2 linked regions of the Drosophila melanogaster genome follow. The protein of the gene in region 1 interacts with the protein of each later gene in a pairwise test. Each region holds a gene or a part of one and is shown on either strand. Other genes may lie near its edges. The genes, in order: ND-39 and alphaTub84D.

Region 1 (7,741 bases):
AGCCTCAGGTCGCTCATTGTTGCTGTAGTTGCTAGGGGATAATGAAGATAACGAAGTGATCCTCCCGATAAAATGTGGTGTGATATGAGTGGCATGTGGATGAGAACTGACGGTTCCCAAAGACTACCAAAAAAAAAGCAAAGATGTCAAGGCAGGTCTAAAAGCTGAAATTAGGCTTAGCTTTTCATTTACAATTTTGTATACCCATTACTCGTAGAGCAGGAGGGTATACTAGACACCCAGGAAAATTTTAGAGTAATAATAGGGTAATGCAAGGTCAACAGACTTAATGCCATTTTTTGGGGTAAAAGATTTAATGTACACTTGTTTTCGAAACCGATTAAAAAAAAAAGAAAAAGTTGGCATATCACGCTAGATTGAATAAAGTAATTGCTCGTATTTATTGGATTTGTATATTTAGCGAATTTTTTTTTTTCAAATTTAATGCTTACTGGTGGTAAACTGTTTAAATAAAGAAAATTAATATGCAACATATCGGTATTGTTATTGATATCGCCGCTAAACCTTTGATTTAACATCACTCGAAATATTTATTGAAGTGAAAACAGAAGCAATCGGCAAGTAAAATGAACAACTTATAACGTGTAATTAAATTTATATATAAATTTCTTTTAGTTTGTATGTTAACTAGCTATTTAATTGCGAATAAGTCCAATGTTCAATTGAATGTCCGTCCGTCCGTCTGACCGTACATATTTTTTTAAAGATATTTGTAAAAAGTTGAGACAAGGCATGCATCCCGACATCTGAGTAACAGGTATCTGGTTATTTTATAGATGCTATGTATAGTTAAACAACTATTTTACAAAAATGAAATTGCTCACAGATTAGTATTGCGAGAAATCTTTTTACTTTCGAGAATTCAATTGCAAAATTTTAAGGTTTTTATGGAATGTTTTTTCACCCCTTTTGTCATAATTATTTGATTACCCTCGAATCCGGACCTTCTCAGATGGCGTAAAGTCCAGATCGTAAATCTGAGCCAAGAGTTGACAGCTCAATTGCCAATTAGACCAATGCAACAGCTCACTCCATTAATTGAAAAAATAAACAAAAAGTGAAGCGTGCAGTAAAATTCGGGACCAATAACATTTGCTTTTTGTTTTGATTTGCCATCATCAGGTTTCAGGTGCATTAATTCTGTTTGCTTGTTTAATTTTTTGCTTCTTTCGGACCATTGCCTGCATACAAATGAAGTTTGGCAACAAACAGCATTTGTTGCCTATTGGTTTTTGCGTAGATTTTAAACTGAATTACAAAAATACTTCCTATACGGGTCCCTGGCCTGTTTTCAAAACAACCAGCAGCTAAAATCTAACAATTTTGACCATTTCGGACACGATGACAAGGTTGCCGATGCCTTTGGAATTTCTAATTCGCAAGGGAACGGTGTTATTTAAAAATTCTATCAATATTGTTATTGTCTATCAGTGGGCCACAGACAACGTGTGCTGCCAATATTTTATTACTTTGTTGCCCATGAGGCGCATTTGAACATTTCGAACGCGCCAAAATCGGACTCCTGATAAGCAGATAGAGATAGTTGTCTACCGACCCTATCGCTATCTCACCCCAGGTGATTAAGTGGTAAGTGGACAGGTCTGACTGATAAGAGCGATTTGGAAAACAATATCGAAAACAACTCGGCTTTCAGTGGGTTAAAATGCCATCACTAGTCGAGGGATTGATTCGATGGGGAATGTTGATGTTGCCACCGGTAAATGTTGCCAAGTGGAAATTAATATTTTTAGGGGGGCTCTCTTATAATATGGGATGTAAATATGACTTATTTAGGTAATACAGCCTTAAAATCATAGGTACATTATAAATATAAGATGTAAGATAAGAGTTAATAAAGATGGAACAACTAGGCGAAAGTAAGTATGCAGATTTTAAGTTATTCCATATTAGTAAGTAGTAGGCTATAAGTTAAATTGCATTGCACTCGGCTAAATTTTCCGTACTAATTGTGTGTTCTATAAAAATCCAGCTTGTATCTTACTGCTTTTTAGCCCATAATCATAAAAGTGAAACCCAATCCACGTTTTTTTTCGCGAATTCACAACCCTGACCACCTGTACATAGTAAGTGATGAAGCACACGATTCAATGAAATATTCCCATTATAATAAACAAAGAAGTGTAAATATTTTAATTACGATTTTATGCACCACCATCTACGTGCAATCTGCACCTATATACATAAGTATATATCTATATATGTACATATGTATGCTTTCCCTGCATCCTCATCGAAAACGTGATCAGTTGGGGTCCGAGAGATTTTTTGATGATTTACAAAAACCCATTAAAATAATACGAAGTTTGATATTAATGCTGATTACTAAAGACCCACTTCAATTACACTTAATGACTCGAAATTACAAAACGACAAATCTAATTGAATTAAATTTATAAACATACAATGCGGTTGCAGTGATAGAAGTAATAAATACAATAATAGCTTTCTATGTAAGAGATTAAAATATAATAATTTTTCTTTTAATATAAATGTAAAATTTTTGGATCTCACGCTACTCTTTAGATTAATAATTTGAGTTGGCTAATATAACCGTGCAACCAAAAATGCATTATTAACTCAATCGCAAACAAATTAGTTTGTTTATTATTTCATAGAGTAATTGTTTATAATATTTTGGAACTGGAAACACGGCCGAGCTGGGTTCTTCAGAACTTGAGCCAAGGCCCGGGATTAATTTCCATTGAATTAGCTAAGGGTGAGAATTTGTTTTTAGCTTAATCTCGATGCGACTGGCAGGTGGATCGTAGACAGATATAACCGTTAATTAGCATTAATTTCGATCGAACTTATTTTTATACACCGCAGAAGTAATACATATTTCGGGCAATATTTTTTCACATCGGTGCCAAGAGGCGCGAGGCGTCTTAATAATCACTTGCTAAATGGATCTACAATCTGCCCGCTAACGAATCAGTCATCTATATACAATCTGCGAGTATCCAAAACTGCGCGCATTAGGGCGTATTTTTCCGATTCCTGGGCCCAGATACAAAGCCGAATTTCGCATACGGCCGAAAAGCCCTTATCAGTCTAGACCCCTAATACTGTGGCTAAGAACTGGAGAATTACCGTCTTTTGGACTCTGATAAGCGAAAAAAGGCCTGCGTTCGCTTTACGTTTTCTAATTATAACCGCGGCAGCGTAAATTGCTTTGGAAAATGTAGCTTTTCCTATTTTATTGTTATTATTATTATTATTATTATTCACACACACGCACGTTAGCGATTTAAAATATTTCGAGGCACACGCGCTAATTTTTTCGGGAGCGAATCATTCAGATCGTTGTTAACTGCAGCGCGGCTCAAACACGAATGATCGCAAAAGACGACGAGAAATATACATATGGCAAAATAAACGGAAAACCCGAAGCACCATGCCGAACTATAAGTACTCTTTTAATTGAAATTCGAAATGTTATAATACTAGTAAAGCTATGTTCTACAAAAACAAGAAGATTTCCTCATTATAATTCTGAGCATTCATAATTGAATTAAAATTAATTTTAATTTTTTCACTAGAACGGATATGTTCCAAGAGTAGTTAATTTATTTATTTATTTACTTTTGAGTTACTCTTCGTAAGGGTATTAAAGGCAAAGAGAGATGGTCGAATAGGAGCAACAACAACACCAATAACCACGGCCGGCAAAACAAACGAAAAGCCCGCAAATTTAAAGGGTGGGGAGCAGAGATAAGGAAGAGAGAGGTAGAAAGCAACAGTGATAGTATTTGTGTGGGCGAAAAAGTGCGTGAGCAGGTTGAAAAAAAATCAGCTGATTGCATGTGAGCTATTAAAGAGAGCGAAATGAGAGCAGAAAAAGGAGAGTGAAATTTATACATATGTTGCTTGTTTATGCCTGTCAAATGTAGGTATGTTTGTATTGTCGTTATCTAGGTAGGTTTATGAGACAACAACAATGCCATAATAAATATTATAAATACATATTTACATATGAAGCTATGGTAATCTCTATAGAATTACATCCTCAATTGTCAAAAGCAGTGATCTGTGCAGATATTTAACTTATCAAACGCACAACTGAAGTCAACAAACAAAAAACAATGTGTTTTATTATAACAATAATATAAACAATGTGTTTTATTATTTATTTTTAGACAGGGTGATTCAATAGAAATATCTGACACGAAATTTACTCTTTATACACAAATACGTACATATATATGTATAAGAACGCGTTTGACACACTGACAAATGTTTATAATTTTTTGTATATCCTGACCCACTGCATGTGTATAATGTAATGTTACAATACCAGAAATATTTTTGTATCGAAGGAGGTTATTCATGACAGTCGCATTCGCCTGAAATCCCATTATCTTAACCAATCTAAAAACAAATTACTAACTTATATACCCTCGGTACTAATTAGTTTACCCAAGCTGTTACATTCAAACCAAATTAGCTAGTGGTCCGCACTTTATAACCGCAAAAATGTGTATCCATTATGAACAGTTTCACCACAAGCTCACTTTTATTTCACTGCTTATCGGTGTTTTTGGTCCGTAGAAATAGTTAATCCTTAGTTGGCCGATTTCGAACAGATAACACTAAGTTTTCCCGATGCTCTCGGTTTTACAGCTCGAAGGCGACTGCTAACTGAATTCTTTGTCCGTAGAACCCAAGCCGTGCCGAATTAAACGATCCGCGGGCTGGAAATTGCAATTAAGCCACGCACATTAGATAAAAAGTTTGCGGTGTGACAAGCAAGGCAGTTACTTTTCAACTGGGACACGGTTAGCTTATGTCTTATTTGCCAACAAATATTTATAAACTAGTGCCAAGCAAGAAGAGTGGTTTATATGACGGTTTAATTACCGCTAAGAGGCTAAGATATCCCCAAGGTTGTCAAAGTAATTATGAGGTAAAATTATTAGTGCCACCTAAATAGTATGAATAATTCGAGATCATAGTAGTTATAACCGTAGTAGCATTTACCGATATTTGATAATCAGATAATTAAAATATGTTTGGTATGCAATGGCCACGAACACGGTCTATTGGTTATGAGGTCAATTATTTACATATTTAGGGTTAACTTTAGGTTAACAGGGCTTTTTAAAAACTATAGAAAAAACTGTTACTTTCCAAATCAAATGTTTTTCTTCAGTCTGGCAGCTTTGTTTGACGGTAGTTTTTGATATCAACCTGTCAATTCTAGTATATTCCAATTGCTACGCCACGGTCACACTGTCGTGGGGCAAAATAAAAAACTGGCCTGTTCCGAAATAAAATAGGATTTTAAGCGTAAATTAACCGAATCGAGTTGGTCCAGTGTGCCGGTGCGAAATGGCCGCCATAGTACTAACCCGTAATCTCCAGCTGGCCAGTGAGTACCGTGCCTGCGGTCGAAAACCGCCAGGCAATCCAATTATGTAATACGATGTTTGTGGCTAACTTTTGGCTCATTCTCTGTCCAATTCCGGATACTTAGAGCACCACGGCAGTGGCGTGGTTGGAGTTTTGTGCCTGCGTGGATATTCCGCCGCTGCTGCGCCGCCGGAAGATGGTCCACGTCCACTGAAGACCACCAATCCGGCTGCCATGAAGCGCGGAACTGGCGGACGTAGCAGTTTCAATGGGATCGTGGCGACCGTTTTCGGTGCCACCGGTTTCGTGGGCCGCTATGTCTGCAACAAACTGGGCAAATCTGGCACCCAGATGATCCTGCCCTATCGCGGTGACGATTCGGATGTTATCCGTCTTAAGGTCACCGGTGATCTTGGCCAGGTACTCTTTCACTTCTACAACCTGGAGGATCCCGCCTCCATTCGTGACGCAGTCAAGCACTCGAACGTGGTCATCAACCTGGTGGGCAGGGACTTCGAGACCAAGAACTTCAAGTTCAAGGATGTCCATGTCAACGGAGCGGAGAGGATCGCTAGGTGAACATCATAGCCAGCATTATTTGCCTGCCCACTTCTTCATTCTAACTTTGCATGACGTAAACCACTTTTATTTCTTCAGGATTGCGCGCGAGGCTGGCGTGGAGCGCTTAATCCACCTGTCCTCTTTGAACGTGGAGGCCAATCCCAAGGATCTGTACGTCAAGGGCGGCAGCGAGTGGCTGAAAAGCAAGTACGAGGGTGAGCTTCGCGTACGCGACGCCTTTCCCAACGCCACGATCATCCGCCCTGCGGATATCTACGGATCCGAGGATCGCTTCTTGCGCTACTACGCCCACATCTGGCGCCGTCAGTTCCGCTCGATGCCGCTGTGGCACAAGGGAGAGAAGACCGTCAAGCAGCCCGTCTACGTTTCGGACGTGGCCCAGGCCATCATCAACGCCGCCAAGGATCCGGACAGCGCTGGCCGCATCTACCAGGCTGTGGGGTAAGTCAATCTCCGAGTCCAAGTATTTGTACCATGTACATTTTCTTAATTTCCTTTATTCTCTGCAGACCTAAACGCTATCAGTTGAGCGAGCTGGTCGACTGGTTCCACCGCCTGATGCGCAAGGACCAGAAGCGCTGGGGCTACATGCGCTACGACATGCGCTGGGACCCCACCTTCCTGCTGAAAGCCAAGCTGAACAGCTTCATCTGCCCCGGCACCCCGATTGGCGGTCTGCATCCCGCTCGCATCGAACGCGAGGCTGTCACCGACAAGGTTCTGACTGGTGTCCCCACGCTTGAGGATTTGGGCGTCACGCTGACCACAATGGAGCAGCAGGTGCCATGGGAGCTGCGTCCCTACCGCGCCGCCCTCTACTACGACGCCGAGCTGGGCGAGTTCGAGACTCCCTCGCCGCCCAAGTGCATCGAGGCGCGCGATGAACTGCGTCTGTTTGCCTAAGCGGAGCGAAGTAGCTGTCTGTGTTGATTGGAAATTTTTAGTTGGAATTGTTTAAGGCGATGCGTCAATAAAGAGAAGTCGAAAGACCCAATGACAACGAAGGAAACTTATATTTCCAAATATTATATAGACATTGATATATGTATTTATTTCGTGCATTTAAATATAAAAAAATTTATAAATACTTTTGAAAAAAAAGTCAAATGGCTAGAAAAGTTTGATGTCGGAAAAAAGATTGGCAGCTCGAAATACCTTTGGTATTTTTCGGTATCTTATTGAGGTGACATCGCTCCGGCAACTAAATCAAAACAAATGAAATCGCTGTCATCGTCTGGCAACGCTTCGCCCGTCCGATTTTTCTTCCTTTGCGACCAGGAGCTTTTCTGCAGCAGTTTCCTCCGAAACTTACGCCCGTGCAGATTTATGGCCGGAAAATCATAGTACGGAAAATTCGATTTCCCAAGTTTTCTGAGTCTGTGTGTGTGTGTGTTTTTGGTGTGTGTAAAGATTTTCAACTTTTCAGCTTGGTTAAGCGGTGAAAAAAGAATATATCAACAACAACACAAGCGCGCGCCCGCCTCTCTTTTCGCGTTTTTGTGCGTGTGAGTGAGAGTGAGTGTGATAATTATGGCATAAGTGGCATACAAATTATGATAGCAGAATTCCCACGGCCGACGACGAATGTGAATTGGGAAAATCGAAAAAGCAGGCAAAGCCAGGAGGCGGATAAATCGCCGAGCGAGTGCAGCAAATCGATCAGCTGTGACGTCGACGGGGGCAGAAAGTTTGGCCAAAAGAAAAGGTCAAACAAGCAGCAGCAGCAACAACAACAACAACTGCACGCGGAACGGAAAGAGGAGGAGCT
Region 2 (4,609 bases), on another chromosome or scaffold:
ACCCCTTATAAATCAGAAAAGTTAAGTAATGATGTTAAAATTATGGCCAACTGATTAGAAAAGAAAAAGTATATGAGTGGAAAATATGTAGAATATATATTTCCACAACATTAATTTTGAACAATAACATCAAAGAGGGTGGATTCTTATTCATATGAATATAGTTTAGCGAGCCTCAACTGGCAAATACCGGTGCTCGCAATCAGGACAACGACATCCTTTGTGGAGCTCTAGGAGATTTCGAAGTGGCTCATTATCGCATGGCTCATATAGTACTTTGCCCTCTTTGGATTCCTGACCCTCGTATGCTGACTCCGGCGGACACTCTTTCTGAATACAAATCGGTTTTTCAACGTTCGATTTATCTATCTTGCATTTACGGAACTTTCGGATCTGGACATCAACGAATGGCTTATACGACTCGTACAGTTTTGGTACGGTAAAAATAAACAAGTGTCCTATAAAGAAAAATTATTTCAATTTAATGTAACTTTATAGATAAAGTAAAGTAAGACAACATATGCACATACCAAATATAAGCAAAGTCAATCCGTTGAAGCAATCGCCCAGCAAATTGATGCCGCAGAGCAAAACTAGGAACTTCAAGGAATCCTCCCACTTTTCCACCAGCAACAATTCTATCATACGGTTTAAAATTAAATTAATATGGGAAACTGCTTTCCCGGCCAGATAAAGAGTCTCCTCCCGGGGGATTTCTATCTTCGGGTGAGGATAGAAACGTAAGATCTGATCTTTGTTCTCATCCTTCTTCCAGATACTCCAGAACTGTACCAAAAGGCGATGGCCAATAGCTGCTATGAGAACTGTGATCCCTACCATGCTTATCACACTGATCACCGAGTGGACCATCACATCCAGCAGGAGGAGCAGGATGCCCGTGAAGACGATCAAAGTCTTTCGGCTATTGCGCCATAACAACAGGTTCTTCAGATCCATAAATATTTGGCTGGAGTCCTTAGCCTTTATCAAAGTATCGGTACTCATATTTTCGAATGTCTTTAGAGCACGTTCGGATGCTGGTTGTGAGATCAGAGCAAATAATGTTTTAAGTTTTCACAGCTGACTAATATTTCAAAGGTCAACCGAATAGACAAACTAAAATGATTTCAAATTGTCAGGTCGGAATGTATTTCGATTCACCACAATGTTTGTGTCTTGCTTCAATTCAGTTCACAGTTAAATTTGAAAAGTTTCTCGACATTGTATTTCTCAAAATGAAGAAAGCGAAGATATTCTAAAAAATATTTTTTTAAATTTTACTACATTTACCTAGCTAATACCGAATGCTTTGCGCACATTATTCATCCTTTTTTTTTAGCTAACTAGCGGGTTTAAATAGTAGTTTTTACTTACGCATCTTCAGAAAATCTTCAATTGTATGAAAATATGAATAATACACAAAATAGTAGCAGATTCCAAAAAATGTTAGCCTTTTGACACGAATAGCACAGACTGGTCCCAATATAAAGAAATACATCTGTGGATTATTTCAAAGCATACTCATTTCGCGCGCAATTAATCGATAAGTGCGCAAAATGGATCGATAACTGCGCAGTACTGTACTGCTCTCGGAAATTACTGCCTTAAAAATATACCAAGCGGGTCAAAAGAGTTCGTTGTGTTTACGGACGGGTTGCTCCATTCTTTAAAAATATATGAACATAAAAAAATTACTTACTTCTTTTATCTCTATTTCAATTTATTTTGTTCACTATGACCTACTGACTTAATGCAAAAATGCACTATTCGGTTTACATACTTTGTTCATTTTGGTAAATAGTAATAGTAGATGTTCTAAACACATGTAAAATTACTTAAACGGAACATTAGTAATTTGACGCTCTCTTGAAATAGGCATTATTAATTGTGTTAATATGCAGTTCACTTATACAAGGCATTGGTATTATTGAACTGTTTGGTATCTTTAAATTTCCCACCGGCGGTCACACTTAATCTACTGAACAAGCGTGCTTGTGCTAAATAATTTTACTGATCTTTAAATCTCGTAAATACCGCCATTTAGCCGCATCTGAACACTCTTGCCGATGGTAATCAATTATTGGCCAAGAGCTAGCAATGTTGTGTAAAAATCAGCGTGAAACTAAAGCCGAATTCAAACAAACAAACCAAAAAGCGGCCTGACAGGGTTTTTCGTGCCCCCAGAGCAAAATCGATTGGTAAAAGAAACGCGTTTCGTATAATATAGATAGTTATCTAATATCTAATCTAATATCTGAGTTGTTGTGAAGCCCTTTTTCGTAAAACAGAGCTACTGGCGATTTACGTCTGTTCGAAATCCATTCCCGGGCATTCCAACGTATACGCCCGCAGAGTCAGACCCCAAAATCCGTAGGCTTACACTTTTTCCGTTGATTTTCCGTAGTCGCGTGTGAGAAACCGAAACTCGAAACAAGAAACCCGGAATCGGAAACCCCATTAAAAATCAATATGCGCGAATGTATCTCTATCCACGTGGGCCAGGCCGGAGTCCAGATTGGAAATGCCTGCTGGGAGCTCTATTGCCTGGAGCACGGCATCCAGCCCGATGGCCAGATGCCCTCCGACAAGACCGTAGGCGGAGGTGATGACTCGTTTAACACCTTCTTCAGCGAGACTGGAGCTGGCAAGCACGTGCCTCGCGCCGTGTTCGTGGATCTGGAGCCCACTGTGGTCGACGAGGTCCGTACTGGAACCTACCGTCAGCTGTTCCACCCCGAGCAACTGATCACCGGTAAGGAGGATGCGGCCAACAACTACGCCCGTGGCCACTACACCATTGGCAAGGAGATCGTCGACCTGGTGCTGGACAGGATCCGCAAGCTGGCCGATCAATGCACCGGTCTGCAGGGCTTCCTCATCTTCCACTCGTTCGGTGGAGGTACCGGCTCCGGCTTCACCTCGCTGCTGATGGAGCGTCTCTCCGTGGACTACGGCAAGAAGTCCAAGCTGGAGTTCGCCGTGTACCCAGCTCCGCAGGTGTCCACCGCCGTGGTGGAGCCCTACAACTCCATCCTAACCACGCACACCACCCTCGAGCACTCCGACTGCGCCTTTATGGTGGACAACGAGGCCATCTACGACATCTGTCGCCGAAACCTGGACATCGAACGACCCACTTACACTAACCTGAATCGTTTAATCGGCCAAATAGTGTCCTCGATCACCGCCTCTCTGCGATTCGATGGAGCCCTAAATGTGGACCTCACCGAGTTCCAGACCAACCTGGTTCCTTACCCCCGCATCCACTTCCCGCTGGTGACGTACGCTCCCGTCATCTCCGCCGAGAAGGCCTACCACGAGCAGCTGTCGGTGGCCGAGATCACCAACGCCTGCTTCGAGCCAGCCAACCAGATGGTCAAGGTGGATCCCCGTCACGGCAAGTACATGGCCTGCTGCATGCTGTATCGCGGCGATGTGGTGCCCAAGGACGTGAACGCCGCCATCGCCACCATCAAGACAAAGCGTACCATTCAGTTCGTGGACTGGTGCCCCACCGGCTTCAAGGTGGGCATCAACTACCAGCCACCCACTGTCGTCCCAGGCGGGGATCTGGCCAAGGTGCAGCGTGCCGTGTGCATGTTGTCCAATACCACGGCTATTGCCGAGGCCTGGGCCCGTCTGGACCACAAGTTCGATCTGATGTACGCCAAGAGGGCCTTCGTCCACTGGTATGTTGGTGAGGGCATGGAGGAGGGCGAGTTCTCCGAGGCCCGTGAGGATCTGGCTGCCCTCGAGAAGGACTACGAGGAGGTCGGCATGGATTCCGGTGACGGTGAGGGCGAGGGTGCTGAGGAGTACTAGAGCGGATAGGTGTGCATCCCTCAAAATCTTGCTTATTTTCATACGCTCCCACTCGCATGTATAAATTTTCTGCGATAATGTATAGCGAACAAAGAAGAAAATAAAAACCCAAGAAAACACCAATTTATTAACCACGTTTAGTAAAAGGCACGAGAAAGTTAGTACTTTAAAATTAACTTTAATTTTATATATGACCAAAAGTCATGCATTAAAAAGTTGTTCACGTGGGGTACATCTGTATATTATTAATTTGCTTCATTTTTATTTTGTTGGTTGGTTAATGTCCTCTATTAACATAGGTTATTTATAATTTAACAGTCCACAGGAAACCGAACATCATAAAGGTGTCTTATCTAGGATTTCAACACCTGTATACAGTAAGATTAGAGAACGCTCTACCTGGCTAAACGGTAAGGTTTTACCAGGCTAGAAACTAAAACTAGAAATCCACGTATGCAAGTCGATGGATCCAGCTTTCCATATCATTCTCCAATCATCTAGGGTGTCCAAATAATATAAAGTTTTTCTTTGCTGCATAGAATTCAGCCAATAAAATTGAACAGAGATCTATCCATATTTTCATTCATTTCTATTTACTAAGCGAAGATTCATAAAAAAAAAAACCAATAGAAATAAATTTCCAGCCTTAATAATTCTTGAGATCTCGCTAGTGATCCTAATGAAGACAAATTTATATCCTCAATAGAGTTTGATTTAGATTTTTCGACGTGTAGCGAGAATAATTATTTCTTCTTTAAGAGGTATAAGGATATAAAAGCAAAATTTA

What was found.
Region 2: the proteins of ND-39 (region 1) and alphaTub84D interact in a two-hybrid assay, tested with the Drosophila melanogaster proteins (one large-scale study listed by BioGRID).

The regions. Positions count from the first base shown.
Region 1 is NT_037436.4:20,490,110-20,497,850, forward strand, and holds ND-39 (NADH dehydrogenase (ubiquinone) 39 kDa subunit), read left to right. Parts: upstream 1-1,972; 5' UTR 1,973-2,105; intron 2,106-3,132; exon of another isoform or gene 3,133-3,381; intron 3,382-4,553; exon of another isoform or gene 4,554-4,812; intron 4,813-5,237; exon of another isoform or gene 5,238-5,242; 5' UTR 5,243-5,370; coding exon 5,371-5,410; intron 5,411-5,515; coding exon 5,516-5,966; intron 5,967-6,048; coding exon 6,049-6,414; intron 6,415-6,482; coding exon 6,483-6,876; 3' UTR 6,877-6,975; downstream 6,976-7,741.
Region 2 is NT_033777.3:7,528,790-7,533,398, forward strand, and holds alphaTub84D (alpha-Tubulin at 84D), read left to right. Parts: upstream 1-1,963; 5' UTR 1,964-2,469; coding exon 2,470-3,822; 3' UTR 3,823-3,943; downstream 3,944-4,609. Other genes in the region: Rtnl2, read right to left, coding at 166-458, 531-1,005. UniProt on the Drosophila melanogaster protein: Tubulin is the major constituent of microtubules, a cylinder consisting of laterally associated linear protofilaments composed of alpha- and beta-tubulin heterodimers.